Drosophila melanogaster: one gene and its partner. The protein of the gene in region 1 interacts with the protein of each later gene in a pairwise test. Each region holds a gene or a part of one and is shown in the gene's direction. Other genes may lie near its edges.

Region 1 (7,871 bases):
ACGTATATGAATCAGAAACATTACAAGGAACAGGATTAGGCACAATCCAGAGCAGACTAAAGCTCACCATGGTTGTTGAATACTTAGACACAGTGTCCTCATTGTATTTCACTATTTTCACCCCCTCGATTTTTCTTTTATTTTCTGCTCTGGGCCTGTGTAATCCCTTGGGCGCATTTGAAAAAAAAAATATCAGCCTTGCGCCTTGTTGGTTTTCAATCAGATTTTGTTTTTTAATGTTTTGCTGGCAACAAAAGCTAATGATTAATAACAAGCTGGCAGCAATAATCCTCGATTCCCCTGGAAATATGTTGCAATTATCGTGCATCGCAAGCAATAAAGTTCATTGTAACACCTAACCCTATTCTTAAGTTAACCTCTAAAAATCTATATAATATATTGAACGCTGTTCATATATCCCTCTTAATAAAAACTTCTTTACTAAGATATATACACAACGCATATTGTTATATCTTTTGATATTGGGTAACTGTGTTTTTTCTGTTTTGTAGCACTTACCCAGCCCAGTAAAATAGTTCATGGAAAAGTTAAAGCAAATCTATTTCTTTTTAATTGGGATAGTCGAGGTTCTTAAAAATAGAGTTCCCCCTATGCTTCAATTTTTAGTTTAAAAGTTTAAATTACTACAGTTAACTTTTGCTTTTATGATATAAAAAATGAACACATAAAATTTCATAGCCATGGGGCGTTGTAAAAAAAGTTTGTAAAGGTAATGCTGGGAATTGAAAAGCAATAGTCAACAAAGAGTACATAGGTACAAAACCATCGGTCCATACCATATAAAAATTCAAAAGCTCTGCATGCTGTGCAATACGAAATAAAATATGTAGATCGCGGACTCATGGGCGTGACAAGTACAACTTGACAGAGGCTGAAGCAGTCAAAGAGCCGGTGACATGTCGTCACTGTCATCACAACTTTAACAGGAAGCCACGCCCACTCAACAGGTGCCCAGCTGAATTTACTAAAAGCGTCAAAAACAAGAGCATAGACAGTAACATCTCAAGTCAATTCTCCTGTCAACAGTCTCAGACAATTTACTCTAAAAAGAACATGAGCGCTATAGTCCATTTTCTCGGTTTATAGTTTTCGAGTTCTTTTCATACGGACGGAGGGACATTCGAACATGACTAGATCAATACTGAGCTAGAATATAGATGTAATGGGTCAGAAACGCTTTTTTGTTTATTATTTTGTCTGATTTTATAAGTTTTCACGTGAAAGAAATTATAGGAAGATAATCACTTGGGAAACATTTATTATTAGTTTTAATGTTTTCTTCTTTCCAGTGAGAGCAGTTTTTTTCGGATCATGTCTTTAGCGGGTGTATAAGAAAAGGCCTGGCACACATGTTATAAATATGCAAATAATTATTTAGGAGCGTGGAATGCTGGCGACAGCGATTATATGAACGAGCAGATTAAGTCCCTTTAGGCACTTTGCCGTCGTCGTCCCGTGGTCTAGCCCAATCTATTCGCCATTGGTCATCTGGCCAGCGGGTAGGAGGGAGATTCACAGAATTGGGGGAGTGTAGGCTTCCCAGGTAAAAGTGGTTACAGTATGTTTTGTCAGAGATTTTTCCCGTTGATATTCCCGCTTTTTATTTACACGTAGAGTAAAATTGTATTCTAGATTCGTTGTAGCATTTTAGACCCTATGACGTTTATATATACATACATACATATACATACCTTCCTCAGGATCACTAGCCCAGATCTGAGCATGTCCCTTTGTCCGTATGAAAGCAGTTTTTTAATTTAATTTAGTTTTTTGTATTGTCAATTTCTATCCAATTCAATTTCTAGCCAAACAAATTTTGCACCGCCCTAATTTGCCCATACTTATAAAACATAATTCTGAATTTTATTTATTGATTTATGTTATCATAATGGGTATTGGATAGTCGAGTTTCTTGTATATAACGTTCTCCCTTCCTTCTATTTGTTTTTTTTACTTGGCTTTTGACCCAATGCCTTGGACCTTGTTCTTATTTTTTGTTTGCCCTAGACTCGTTGGCGTCGACTTTTAGGTTGTTGCACTTTGGTACCACAGTTATCAAAATTTCGATTGCTCTATTTTATTGCTGTATTTTATTTTGACCGATACAACTGCAGGATAGCCCATGTGTAAACAATCAGCAAACCATTTGTTATATTCCTGCAGTGAATGAAGATTAATTTCAGTCATAAAAAAAGAAAGGGAAGGCTACCGGAGAGGTGCTAAATAACTCCGCTCTCTGAGATAAATTATGCGCAATTTCTCCTCTGCAAACTTATTCAGCACCTTAAAGCTTAAGTACTCCAAACTAAGCTTTCGCGGCTTAAAGCTAAAAATCTTTATTTTATGATAAAAAGCTCAATTTTATGAGCATGTACTTTTTTACGTTTTTAACATGCCGTTTTTTTTTTTAAGAAGGACTTGGACATCTGTATAAGGCAACATATCCATGTGAATTTACAAGGAGAAAACGATTCAGTCGATCTTGTCGGCTTACAGATACGTGTTACTACTCCGCTAGAGGAAGTGCGTTGGAGTTGGATATATGTAGATAACATATCGATAGATTTACAAAATTAAATTTTCAAATGTGTCGGCGTGGCAGTTTTGGGGGGTTTGGGGGCCTTAGAGTGGGCGTGGTAATATTTCAACAAACTTGCGCTGGTTCTGTCTCTAGAATATGTATGCTTAATATAAACCTTCCAGCTTTTATAATTCCTGAGATGTCGACGTTATACGGCCGGACAGACGGACAGTGCCAGATCGACTGGGCTATTGATACTGATCAAGAATATATAAACTTTATATGGTCGGAAACGCTTCTTTCTACTTGTTACATACATTTTCAACGAATCTAGTATACTCTTTTAGTCTGCAAGTAACGGGTATAAGAAGTATAATTTGAACTGTATAAAGGTTAAACTGTATGTAGGTTAAAGTACTTATGCGGTAAATGAATCTTATTTCTAGTACTTATCTAATCATCCCACATTAAAGCAACTGATTAAATAATACCATTGAAGATTGCACACATTTGTATATAGAGAGTGGGAGAGAGCGATATCTTCCTCCATATGGGTATCCTAAACCTGCCGACTCACGTTTGCCGGCATGACAGGTTGGGTTACCCCATTAGCTGAGAATTTCTTTTTGATGAAGCAATAATCGAAGGAGTGTTTTCTTTTGGATTCGTATTCGTTTGATACCGCTGTGAGCCATAAAATGTAACCCATTAGGTTAGTATGGTTGCGATTATAATGGTGGTGTCATCATCATTTAGCCAAAAACCTGAGATTTATTCCACTGGTCCATTCATAAAAGGCCATCATTTGAAGCTTAGATAATGTTTAATTAATAAATACGCGTTTTTCGTATTTCAATGGTACTTTTATCGTATCAGATATTTTTTTTAATATTTCCATATTTTTCTTCTTCCAGCAGATAAAGGAAAGTAGTAGATTTAGTTGTCCCTTAAGTTGTGATACAACGATAATTGAATAAAATAAGAACTGGCAATTATATATGCATTAAGCTGTTTACGAGCACCAAACGTAGCCTACTCTGGGTTGGTTTATTAAATAGAATGGCTTTCTTACTTTTTTTTAGATCACGTTGCTTTGCTGAAACTGTCAGTATTTGGACTTGGCTATCACCAGCCATATGGCAAAACATCAGAAGTAAAATTGTCTGTGAACACACAAAGCACACGAAAAAATCTCGGAAAAAAAACTGTACAAAATTTAACTTCGCTCTCGACCAGATTTACAAAATTTTTTTTTTGGCCAAACTTAAAATTAGGAATACAAGAGAACGGTGTGTGTACCAAAATCAAATCGTGTTTAGCTAGTTGGTGAGTCTTATTGGAAGCTCGGCATATTCCGAATATTACTGAAATTTTTTCCCCATTTCCGAATTGCATTTGGTTTCACATGACATACGCACACAATTGGAAGTCGTAATTCTATATGTGTGGGACAGTGTTTACTGAGTATTTGGTTGGGGTTAACTTAAGAATTAATATTTTTTTTTTTTAAATGCGTATTTCAGACGTCAGGATATATGCTACTTTGATTCGTTAACTATTTTCAAGTGATCGGAAGCAAACGCAGAGGCATTTCTAATTTGTGCGTTGCGCGACTTTCAGAGATCGTAGACTCGATTAACCATGGGTAAAAAGGGCAAAGGAAAGAAGGGCAAGAAGCCCGCCGCAGTTGTGGCTCCCATCGAAGCGCCACCATGTCCTCCGTGTCCGGAACCACCAAAGCAGATGCAACCACTTGACGCTTGTCCAGAGTCTAGCGGACCCCACGATGTCCTTCGGGCTCAACCGAATCATTACCCGGCTCTTCTTCGTATTCCGGAAACAATGGCGGTGGTGGGCTCTGAGAATGGATGCTACGATAGCATTTGCAAGCTCCTGAGAGCCGGATTCCGGTGTGCCGAGCGGGTTTTCGTGATGGCCCCTTGGGGCAACTACGTGGTTTTCCGGTATCACAACAATAATGACTTTATTTACTTCCTGTTTGATGGATGCACCTGCGATGTTAATAGGTTCCGCTATCTAGACCTCAGCTGCGGAACTGCTGGATTTCTTTTCTTCGATAATATGCACGACGTTATTAGTTATATTATCCAGTCTCGAAAGACGCGTCTATATCTGGAGAATCTAAACAAGATTGCCATTGATCAGATTGTGGAGGAGTATGGCGCTGTAACGTACACCCAAAAGGCAAAATGCATGCGATTCGCTTAAATAGGTCCCATATGATTTCTAACAAAAGAGGGCAACGCATACACAACGAGGATAATACTGGACGACAAGCTTTGCTCTAAACATTTAACATATTTTGGCACAATCTTTATCAATAAATAATAATCTCTTTGAAAGCAACTAAAACAAATTTGCATAGCTCTAATACCAATAGCGGTGATAGCGATATACCAAAGCGTTTATTTTGCATGTCGAAGTTAATCCTTTTGTAGAGTTTTGCTGGGAAAGTTGAGGTTAGCGTACGATCAAAAGAAGTTAAATAACAATAGTCGACATAAATTATTGCAATATTACTGTGGATAAAATACAAATCGTAAATATAATATCAAAAATTAGAGACTTACAGGGTGTGAGAATTTTGTCAATTAGAGTACAGATTCCAAGTCGATTAGCGTTCGATTAATTCCATTCATTTGAGTGGTATGGAAATTATGCATGTGCATCATTTTGCTAATATTCGGCTCAAAAGAATGAAGCGGAGGATTCCAGCTTAACGTGCACAACAAATCCCTCAAATTATTATTGCTTGCTACAAAATGAAAAAAGAAGAAACCCAATAGAAACAAGGTGAACCTTCCAAGTAAGGGGTCAATTTTTGGAGGCCCATGGATTGCGAAAACCGCAAAGCATTTGCAATAAAGTGCCAAACAAGCGCCGGCCACACGATATTTGAATATTTATAAAAGTAGTCGACTTGTTGATAGATTATGAGATGTTAAACTGAAAAATTTTATTTTTCAAACAGATTTTCAGTATTTGAAAATGTTTATATTATAACACAATTAAATTGTTTTTAACATCTTAATTAATTCTGAAATAATGTTTAAAGTTCTTACATTTTTATTAACATCTTAATTAATTATATATATATATAATATAATAGGTTATTAGACAGACCGTTACTTCTTATAATTTATATATTGTTATTTTTTAGTGGATGCGATTTGTGAGCAATATATATTTACTTGACATTTGTCCGGGCTACGAGAGAAGGCTCGGCTGGTTAGGCCACTGTTTCGCCGGTGTGTCAAGTGTCCGGTTTCCCTAACCATAACTCGTGTACCCCTCCTTAACTCCCGTGAGTACCTTTTAACTATCCAAACTCCTTGACTAGCCATGTCCCATTTAACATTTTACAACGAGTAGCGTATTTGTATGGCTGCGCGGCATTTTAAGACCCAATCGATCGGAGGATCGAGATTGAGGCACGCAAATAGAGTTAAATATATAATATTTTAACTCCAAAAGTTTATAGTGCACACTAAACCATTTATTAACCCCAAAAAAAAAAATGTATATTCTCGACGAACATCCATAAAGATTTGTGCTAGTACTTTTTTTTGTCCAGTGTAAATCGAGGGAAACATGGGTCGCAGATCGACAGACAAAGACGAAGGTATCTATTTTCCGAAAAATATATATACTTGCCCTTTCACGTTGTCGGCAAATGTCAGCCTACCATTTATATAAATGCACACCTCACCCTCAACTATTTGCAGACTCAAAAACTTTGTCATCTCCCCTTTTGAAGCTCAAGTAAATTCCCCAAATGTACTTGCACCGATGACCCCGCTCGAAACTTTTTACTTCTCGAATAATAATATTTACTAACACAAAAAATGGTTTCGTCTTTTAAATGATTAGTTTTTTTTATTTCATTTTAGGTTTTATGAATACATTCCTTTATACCAATACCATTATCTTTTTTCTTTATAAGTGGCCTGGACTTAGATCATCTCCAAAACTTTTTGCGCTTTGCTAAAAAACAGCAAATTCGCTTCTATTGTTTCGGTCTTGGGTTTTCGTTGATTGAATTTTTGGTTATTGCGGTTACCTTTTACCAGCTTTATACGCTGCATGCAACATTAGTCAATGACACTCGATGCTGGATGTTGATGTTGTTGTTGCTTAGTTGCCAGTTTGCAACATCATCTTGCGTCAGTCGCTGACATGATTATATATATTTGGCATGAACCTCCCCTTCCTTACTATGTGAATATTTGTGTAATGTTTAGATAAGTTTTTATTTATTTTGGATTTCTTTAAAACAAACCAAATAATCGTTCTAGATTTTAAATCAATTAATATTCATTATTCGATGTATGCAAAAACAATGGTTTTCACCCTCTCTTAAGTAAAAACAATGTTATGCAAACATTTGTTGGCCAATTTTTTGCTGTGTCAACAACAATCATTAATTAGATGCAACGAAATTACCAATCAACTGCTGCAACGTAATAAAAATTCATATGCGTTGCATATTAGCTAAATGAAATCAAATGACAGGAAGCAAGCAACATCAGCAACAACAGCAACCGCCTTAACACCGAATATACAACATATTATCGAAGAAATTCAATAACTGCTCATTGTGAAAAATGCTAACCAGCCACACCACAGGGGGGAGGGGTGCACTTTACGCGCTTTTGATCAACGGGAAACTCGTTTGATTCAGTGCAATCGAATTACATTGGCATGAGATGCAGTTGCAACTCTCGCTAACGCTTTCCTTTTCGTGTTGCGCATTTCACTTGTTTCTTCTCTTCTCACTTGCACTAAGCAGATCTTGGCATAATAAATAAATTAATCGACAAATGACGAATGATATATGAGGATAGATTGGAAGTAAAGAAAGACAGAGCCAAAACAGAATGATCTGACGAACTGTAAACACCAAATATATATTGATTGCTGGTTTTGTAAACTAATAAATAATGTAGATTTCAAAAGTTTTTACCAGTGCAGTGTCCAGGGTGACACATGTTTTCAATTTCCATGATTTTGTTGTTTATACAGCTATGTAGATTCAGCTTGGGCTTCTTTTGCTGCCGCACTCATAATTACGAACCGCCAAATGGATTTGGCTTGGCCAGCAAGTGAAAATGCTATCGCTATGCAGCAAAAGCGTGTGACTTTTCGCTTTTTGGTGCCTACCGCTGTTTTTTTTGTAGTTTCTGAATTTGGTTTTTTGCTTTCGGCCGCCGCTGCAACATTGATTTCCTCTTTCATGGCCGGTGGCCGAGATCCGCAATTGCAACTCAAAGAGCTGCAAAATGTTTCCTGCTCCGCTGCAAGACGTGCA
Region 2 (7,906 bases), on another chromosome or scaffold:
TTTATTTTCTGAGTAGTGGTATCTATTCTTATTTCCAATTTGGAACTGCCCAACGGGAACACAAATAAAGATGTCAGTCAACTCAAATTCCTCCTATCTAATCTGGCCCTTAAAAGAGGTTTACTCCAACCAACTCACATGATGTAGAAGTAGTTGTCACTGTCCTTGCGCTTCGCATCGCACGGATTGGCGCTCTTGCTAGAGACCGAGCTGGTGGCTCCTGGCTCGGGATCCGTGTGCTGGGAGCTGGTGCTCCAGCTGCGACCCCAGCGGCCGGCGACTGAGGAGCCGGGCACATTGGCCTGCCTGTTGCTGGACAGGCTGCCATCCTTGGTGGAGCCGGCGAAGAACGACTTGACGCTATCCATGGTGCGACCCTCGCTACAAATCTGGTTCCGATTGGCCGTCTGAGTGTATGTGCGTCGAGCCTCCGCAAAAACGGCCGAAATTGATAAAGCTAAAAATATATATGCGAAGACACCATAATTTATTTATTTTGTCTGAAATCTTGTTTTTTTCGGTGGGCTCGTGCCCCTCTAGCTGTTTCCAAGTGCGGGGATCTTCTCCTCCGGCCGTCGTACGATCCAAATTGAATTTATTTAAGGTGCGGTTGGAAAACAAGTCGGGCTATTGATAAGCTCTTGGTATACATCTATTATTATCGTATCTGCTCCAGGTGGAGTGGCCATCTTGGAGCTTCATACTTGTTTTTTTTTTTCACCGATGGAGGCTCTTTGTGCTTCATCCGGAGGGGAGTATGTGTGAAGAGTAGGCTGATCAAACAGGCTTTGGGAAAACGGCAACTAAGTGGCAAATGCGACGCAGTTTCAACTCGAATCTAAATATGTAAGTATACACATACGTATGTACATATGTAGGTGTTGCCGCATACATATTATCAATTAGCAGTTCAGAACAGTTCACTGGCTAAGCAGATCGCTGATAACGTGGTCGAGAATCGGCGCAAACACGCGCCGCCCTCGGGAGCCATGGGAAATAGTTAAGTTGTTTGGGACTCCGCCGGGCCTTCTGGGCTCCGATCAATGGGTTAGTCGGACGTGGCCAGATAAGCGGGCTGCGGACCTTGAAGAGCACCAAATGCAAAGTGAACCGAGACTAATAACCGGGCGAGGTCAACCCATTGTAGCCAACCATCCAACTGACCTACCTTAAATGCTTAGTTCACTCGACTTCGAAAGGGACGTGACTCCTGGGGCTTCACTCCAACTCCAGTTGCTGCGCTTGCTCTGTTTTTTTTTAGTGCACTCAAACGAAAAAAACTCGATCACCTGCAGTCGCGAGGAGAGAACTGTGAACCGTTTTGCACAATGTCTGCGATCGCACTGAAAACGAAACAAGGCACGGCGTCGGCATCGAGTGTTTTTAGTTTTAATCAATTTTAAATGCGAAGGCGTCGTGTTTTGCCGCTGTGTGAGTGGCTACCACGCAGCACACACACATGGGAAAGCCGCTCGTGCACTGGAAGAAATGGCACGGATCTGAAATGGATTTAGGTACAAGTTTCCTATTCATTCAGTTAATATATCCAGAAAACATAAATACTAAATGCTACTGCTTAACTTTGGGTACATTAAATTCAATTCCTTGTAATGAAATAACTAGGTACATACGCATTGTTTGGAATGTGCTTGTTTCTCCAAGTGTACGTCATATGTGCGGTGTAGCAATGAGTAGTATTTCCAAGAGTTTCTTGGGGTGCTGCCATAGTCTGGAAAGCGTCTGGTTTCTACATCTGTGGTACACTGGTACCAAACATTTGTTTGTTTTGATCGCCGTTTCTTTTAGTTGCTTTCATACATATGTTTTGGACTGTTTTGGCTAAATCTGTGCGGTGGATACACTTACCTTCTACCTGGTGTTCATCGCAGATCAGCCTTGTCCTCGCCGCACTTCCGCCCTCGCTCTTTGTCACTCTTCTCGGTCTTGCCTAGTCTTCCTTTCCACTTTTGCCTTTTTATTGTGCTCCGATGCATGTTGATTGTCGTGGACTTTGCACCCTCAGTTTTCCGCTGTTGTAATGCTCGTTTTACGCATTTACAGGAATATAGTCGACTAGGAAAGCACTCTTTACCCGTTTAATCTGGATTTGTCAGCCGATAATTCAGTGGAATTAATTCTGTTGAATTCATAAATAAATAGATAAATTGTATGATTCATTAACCTATTTATTAATTGGTTGATAGCTTTGGGATAGTGATTAAACTCAAGCAATTCACCGATGCAATCTATTGTCTTGAAATGATAAGAATTGAAAGAATGTTGCTATGAATTTAAAAATCTTTAATGAGTGGCTGCCACTTTAATCTAATTCCACGTAATCTTAACTTTCTGAAGGTGCTGGAAACCCATGACACTTTAATTTTCAGAACATTCAACCTAACTATAAATTCAAATCGAGTGGCAGCTCCGATAACGGTCACAGCTGCTAAGACCAGGGCGGCACACTGTGTGCTGTCGCCCGATAACTTCTTTGTTTTGAACTCACGGGAAAGCAACCCTGCGTGTGCTCTCGCCAATTGGAACTGCGAATATACTGCCTGTGTATATATGTAAATGTTTATAATTAGCAATTTTTCTACGAAACAAACGATTAAATAATGCAGTTTTCTGCCTACTAAATGCCAAATACAACACACAGACTTCGAGCCACGAACGGTGATGTGATCAGAGTACTAGAGTAATCCAACGAAAAACGCGAGTCCATTTTAAAGCGAAGTATAAAGTGCCAAACAAAGGGAGCAGTCGAACCCAGTCCAAATCCAATCATTATACTCGGTCCGTGACCTGCCGACGAGCCAGCGAGTACGGCAATAAGCATGGGCAACGCCAGCTCCTCCGTGCACATGCAACGCGAGCGCCACAAGTCGACCGACTTGTCCACGCCGAGCTCTCCCGCACATTTCCGCGATTCGATTGGTGGAGGAGGAGCGGGACAGGGCGGGAGTGCTGGCGCAGCAGCTCTGGGCGCTGCAGCGGGGGCGGTGGGAGCTGCGGGGGGTGGAGGAGGAGGCGGCGGAGGCCAAGCTTTCTCGTTCGACAAAAAACATACGGCAGTCTTGAACGAGGGCTCGTCGCAAGAAGACGACGACCCGTACTACACGGGAACTGGAACTGGATCCACTAGACGAGGCACCGCACACGACGACGCGACATCAGCTGTTACCCGAGACCACTCCAGCATGGACAACAACGAGGAGGAGGAGGAGGCAGCGGTAGGAGCGGAGCCAGCGACTGGATCTCAGTTAACCGGCGATGAGGACGACATCCGGAAGACGGCACTGCCCACAGTTCTGCGGTGGGACGGCGGCGGCAAGAACGTCACCATCTCGGGCACATTCTCCGATTGGAAGCCCATGGCCATGGTGCGCAGCCATCAGAACTTCGTGACCATCATAGATCTGCCGGAGGGCGACCATCAGTACAAGTTCTGCGTGGACGGCGAGTGGAAGCACGATCCCAAGCTGGTCAGTTGGGCGGAAAATCAATATATGCAGCAGGCTATTCAGTGTTTTTGATTCGGGCGCCCGAATGACGCAGTTACCGATTTTCGCCCCGGGTTGTGTAATCGCCGTAAACAAAACGAAGTCTCCCAGTAATCGTAGTGGATTTCAATTGGGTTCAGAGATGCTCATCCGGCTTTAGCTTTTTTTTTGTTTTTTTTTTGAGGAACCCCGTTCAAATGCTTCGCAAATAACAAATGCAATTAAAGTTACAAGTTTAAGGGAGCAAACTGCGATAAAACCCATTTGTAGATTACTACTAAATCCGGTTGGATGTCGCTAGTTTTGTGGACACAGTTTATCTAAGTGACCATTGAACATTGCTATCAGGCGAACAATTTGAACTATAGAAAAGATTTAAGGGAATAGTAACGTTTTCTTAGATAAAATATTTTTCTGGATAACAAAGTTCAGGACTGTGATAGAATATATGACCTACTTCGCAATGTTAAAATAGTTGCAGAATTGCATGAAGACGAAAAGCAATCAGAAATGAATTACTAAATGCACAGACTTTAAATCTTTATTAAGAATAGTTCACGAAGCTCACGTATTTAAACCATAATGGTTTTAATGACTAATAAATAATGTAGTTTATCTGACATTTAAATTAGTAAGCAAAACGAAAGCAAACCATTGAACAAATTTTTGTATTATATATATATGTAGCAAGCCAAATTGTTGTATATAATTCAAAATTGCTCGAAACAAGTAGCAACAGTACGTTATTAATTATAGAAAGCAGTCATTGCCCAGCCACATTTTCATGAAGTATTGCCCAATTTTTGTTTTATCGCAAACTCAGCTATCAAGTTTCATGAGTTTTATTGAACTCAACCCGAGGCCTGCAGATATTGTCCCAATTGCCCAAACTATTGTTACAGACAATTTGATTATAGCTTATCGGTTTGCTATTTTAGAAAAGCGTGGAGAACGCCGAGGGACAGAGAAATAACTTAGTGTCCGTGCGAGAATCCGATTTCGAGGTGTTCCAGGCCCTAGCCAAAGACAGCGAGAACGTGACCAACTATGCGGAGAAGGAGTACTCGCAGGAGGTGCCGCAGGTGAAGCCCTGGGAGAAGGTATCTGGCCCGCCCGTTCTGCCGCCCCATCTGCTCCAGGTCATCCTCAACAAGGATACACCGCTATCGGTGGGTATTGTCGCTGTCTCGAGAGCTACCGACCGTAACCTTACCCTATTCTGTTTCAGTGTGAACCCACTCTGCTGCCGGAACCCAACCACGTGATGCTTAACCACTTGTACGCCCTGTCTATCAAGGATGGCGTCATGGTCCTGAGTGCCACGCACAGGTATCGCAAGAAGTACGTCACCACGCTGCTGTACAAGCCCATTTAGGCAACTCGCAATTGGTATTTTAGCTGTAGGAACATGGTTTTTATGAGGGATACCACGTCCCGCTTGTCAAATTTACCTTATTATGAGTAAAAGTGTTTTAGTTTTCTCTCTATTAAGCGTTGTATTTTTATTAGTTATAAATATACGGAACTTGTAAAAATATAAGATTATTGCATTGTGTCATAATTTGTAATTTGTATTTGAATTTACTACGAATCGTACAGCTTATTTGCAATTTCAACCTGATATGTCACTAAAGTCACGATCTAAGAGTAATTTAAGCAACTATGCATATTGACTGACTGATAATTTGGTTCCCTGTTCGCTGTATATAAGTATAACAACACTTTGGATTTTGATCAACGTTTCATATCACATGTGTACAAGAGTCTTCGCCGACGGCAATCTATCGGAATACAAACATTCTCGTATATCTACGTGTTCAACTGGACAAAAACTGAACTAGACTAGCGGACCGACCGACCGACCGACCGACCGACCAGCTTCACATCAGCTTGACCTTGTGGTCCAACTGATCGGCGTCGATCTTCTTGGCGAACAGCACCGGTGACGAGGAGGCCAGCGCCACCGTCTGCTTGGCCAAGAATCGCTCGTGCATCTTGTTGGCCGTGTGCTGGAACTCGCCATCCTCGTCGAACAGCGCCTTGGTGAAGTACTCCGTGAAGAGGCGGCCCATGTACTGGTCTTTGGTGGACGGCCACCAGCCCTCGAGGAAGCCGATGTGCCCGCCACGAGCCGTAATCACGATGGCCACATGGGTGCACTGGTTGGCCGCCTTGATGGGAATGGCATCCAGTGGCTGGAACGGATCATCGGCGGCGCTCAGGCAAAGCAGCGGCACCGAAATGTGATCGAGTTTGTTGTGCAACGTGGCATCCGAGTAATAGTCATTCACATGGGCATATCCGAACTGCTTAGCCGTAAAAAGCGCGTCGAACTCTTTGATCGTCTTGCAGCGCAGAATGCGCTGAATATCAATGTCAGAGTCCTGGTAAATATCCCTGTAGATGTCCAGGTGATTGCGCAAGGTTCGGCATAGGCTTCCAGCCAAGTGGCGTCCCAGCAGGCTGTTGATCACTGGCTTCTCGATGCTAGCGCTGCCCTTGTGGACGTCCCAAGGGACAGATATTATCTTTGCAGCCGAAAGGAAGCTCCTGGCCTCGTCGCTCTTGCGGGCTAAATAATTGCCCAGAATCAAGCCGCCCATTGAGATCCCAGTGGCTCCCAGCTTGCATTTTTCGGGCAAAGTGCGTCGCACATGCTGGACGACCTCGCACAGATCCTCGCAGTTGGCGGCGCAGTAGAGACGCGGTGTCTTCAGCTCTATGCCGCCGAGTCCGCGGTTATTAAACACCACCACTCGCATGCCAGCCTGCTGGGCGGCGAAGACGAGACACTTAATGTACTCCGCCTGCGACTCACCGGTCAGACCCGGTAGGATGAGTATGCATGGAGCACTCTGGTCGCAGCCCTCCTCCATCCAGTCCAGGGCCACCTCCCCGCCATCTTTCAGCGAGAGTATCTCACGGCGGTAGTTGACGCGCGGCAGACTCTTGGAGCGCAGCAGGCTCGCAAGGACGGTCTGGGCACGACTCTCCACACACCAAAAGGTGGGCCAGTACTTGTTCTCCAGCGTCGGCACCTTCCGGATCAGATACTGCTTGAACGGCCCGTCCGAACATGCGATTATCGGTCGCTGCAATTAGACGGTAAATGCGGTGATTAGTCACGCACCGGACGTGATGCAATGGCTGATGTTACACTCACCTTGACCACCTGGATAAGGTAATAGACGACGTAGGCCACCACAGCCATGCCCAAAACATGGAGGCGCGGCAGGTTGGACAGGTAGGCGTACATCGAGTAGAACATGGCGTCGTTCTCTGAGTGAAGGCTCCGCACAGACAATTTCGAACTTAATGCTGGACGGGAAAGCGAGCTGAAAAAACGAACAAGCCACAAATGAAATGATTACAGCGCAGCGCGACTTGTTAGCGGCATGAATGGGCTATTTCGGGCTAATAAGTACAAGGAGGCATATCTAATCGCCGCGCGCTAATGTATGCATATGGATTCTGATTGAACGAGTGGTCGTCCGTATCAAAGGCAGACAAAATACGCCGCGAAAGGGTGCAGGCGGGGCGGGTTCAGGTACACTTGGCTCGTTCACGGCGCTTATCGCTCACTCACAGCAGGTCTGGACGGTGGGCTGGGTTCTGGAGCTGTGACTGCGACTGCGATTGCGACCGGGACTGCCGCTGATAGACGCCTCTTCCGGCGGACAGGCAGCGAATGTCGTGCACTGGGCCAAGTAGCTCGGCCACGGAGCGATACAGGACCAACTTGTGGCCGGTGGTTGGACCACGGACAAGGGCGCACAGCATGGCGGCTCTAAACTAAAGACTATTACTAGCTTGGTGTGCTTAAACCAATGGTTTGTGTCCGGGGGCTCTGTCAATTGTGCTGGGTTCCACAATTTATGTGTGCTTACCTTAAAAAGAGGGCAAAATAAAAGAATAAATACAAGTTTAGACAAGGCGACTTAATAAACCTGTGACGCGGCTGTGACACAAATCGAAACTGAGTCCGCAGACCGATAGTATCTGTAATTATTGGATTGACCCCGGACATTCGTTGTTGGGCTCGGACTTCCCAGCGGCGTCGTCACGTGCACTAACAGAACAATGGGCGGGATTGGGTAGTGGTGGCGGTGGTGGGCGGATAATGGTGTTCTATTGATTTGCCTAGGTCGGTGAGTGCAGGTAATTACCGTGCCAAATGTGACGGAATCGAAACTATTGTGTACTATACGCAGCTCTCGCCGAGTAGCTGCAATACGTAGATCGGAGTACAGCAATCTCTTAGAGGCAAACTGCTTCGGTTACACGCACTTATGTAACCTTATAACAAATAGTGTGCATTTTTCGAATCGCTGTCGAGAGAGGAACCTTGGGGCAAGCGTTGGGGATCCAAAGAAACTCGGGAAAAACCTAGAAGGGTGCACACT

What was found.
Region 2: the proteins of CG12470 (region 1) and alc interact in a two-hybrid assay, tested with the Drosophila melanogaster proteins (2 studies listed by BioGRID).

The regions. Positions count from the first base shown.
Region 1 is NC_004354.4:304,025-311,895, forward strand, and holds CG12470 (uncharacterized protein), read left to right. Parts: upstream 1-3,659; 5' UTR 3,660-3,868; intron 3,869-4,065; 5' UTR 4,066-4,183; coding exon 4,184-4,771; 3' UTR 4,772-4,911; downstream 4,912-7,871.
Region 2 is NT_033778.4:9,132,531-9,140,436, reverse strand, and holds alc (alicorn), read left to right. Parts: upstream 1-2,503; 5' UTR 2,504-2,837; coding exon 2,838-3,485; intron 3,486-4,441; coding exon 4,442-4,672; intron 4,673-4,731; coding exon 4,732-4,878; 3' UTR 4,879-5,062; downstream 5,063-7,906. Other genes in the region: CG8788 (uncharacterized protein), read right to left, coding at 139-368; Hydr1 (alpha/beta hydrolase 1), read right to left, coding at 5,384-6,595, 6,667-6,838, 7,090-7,283.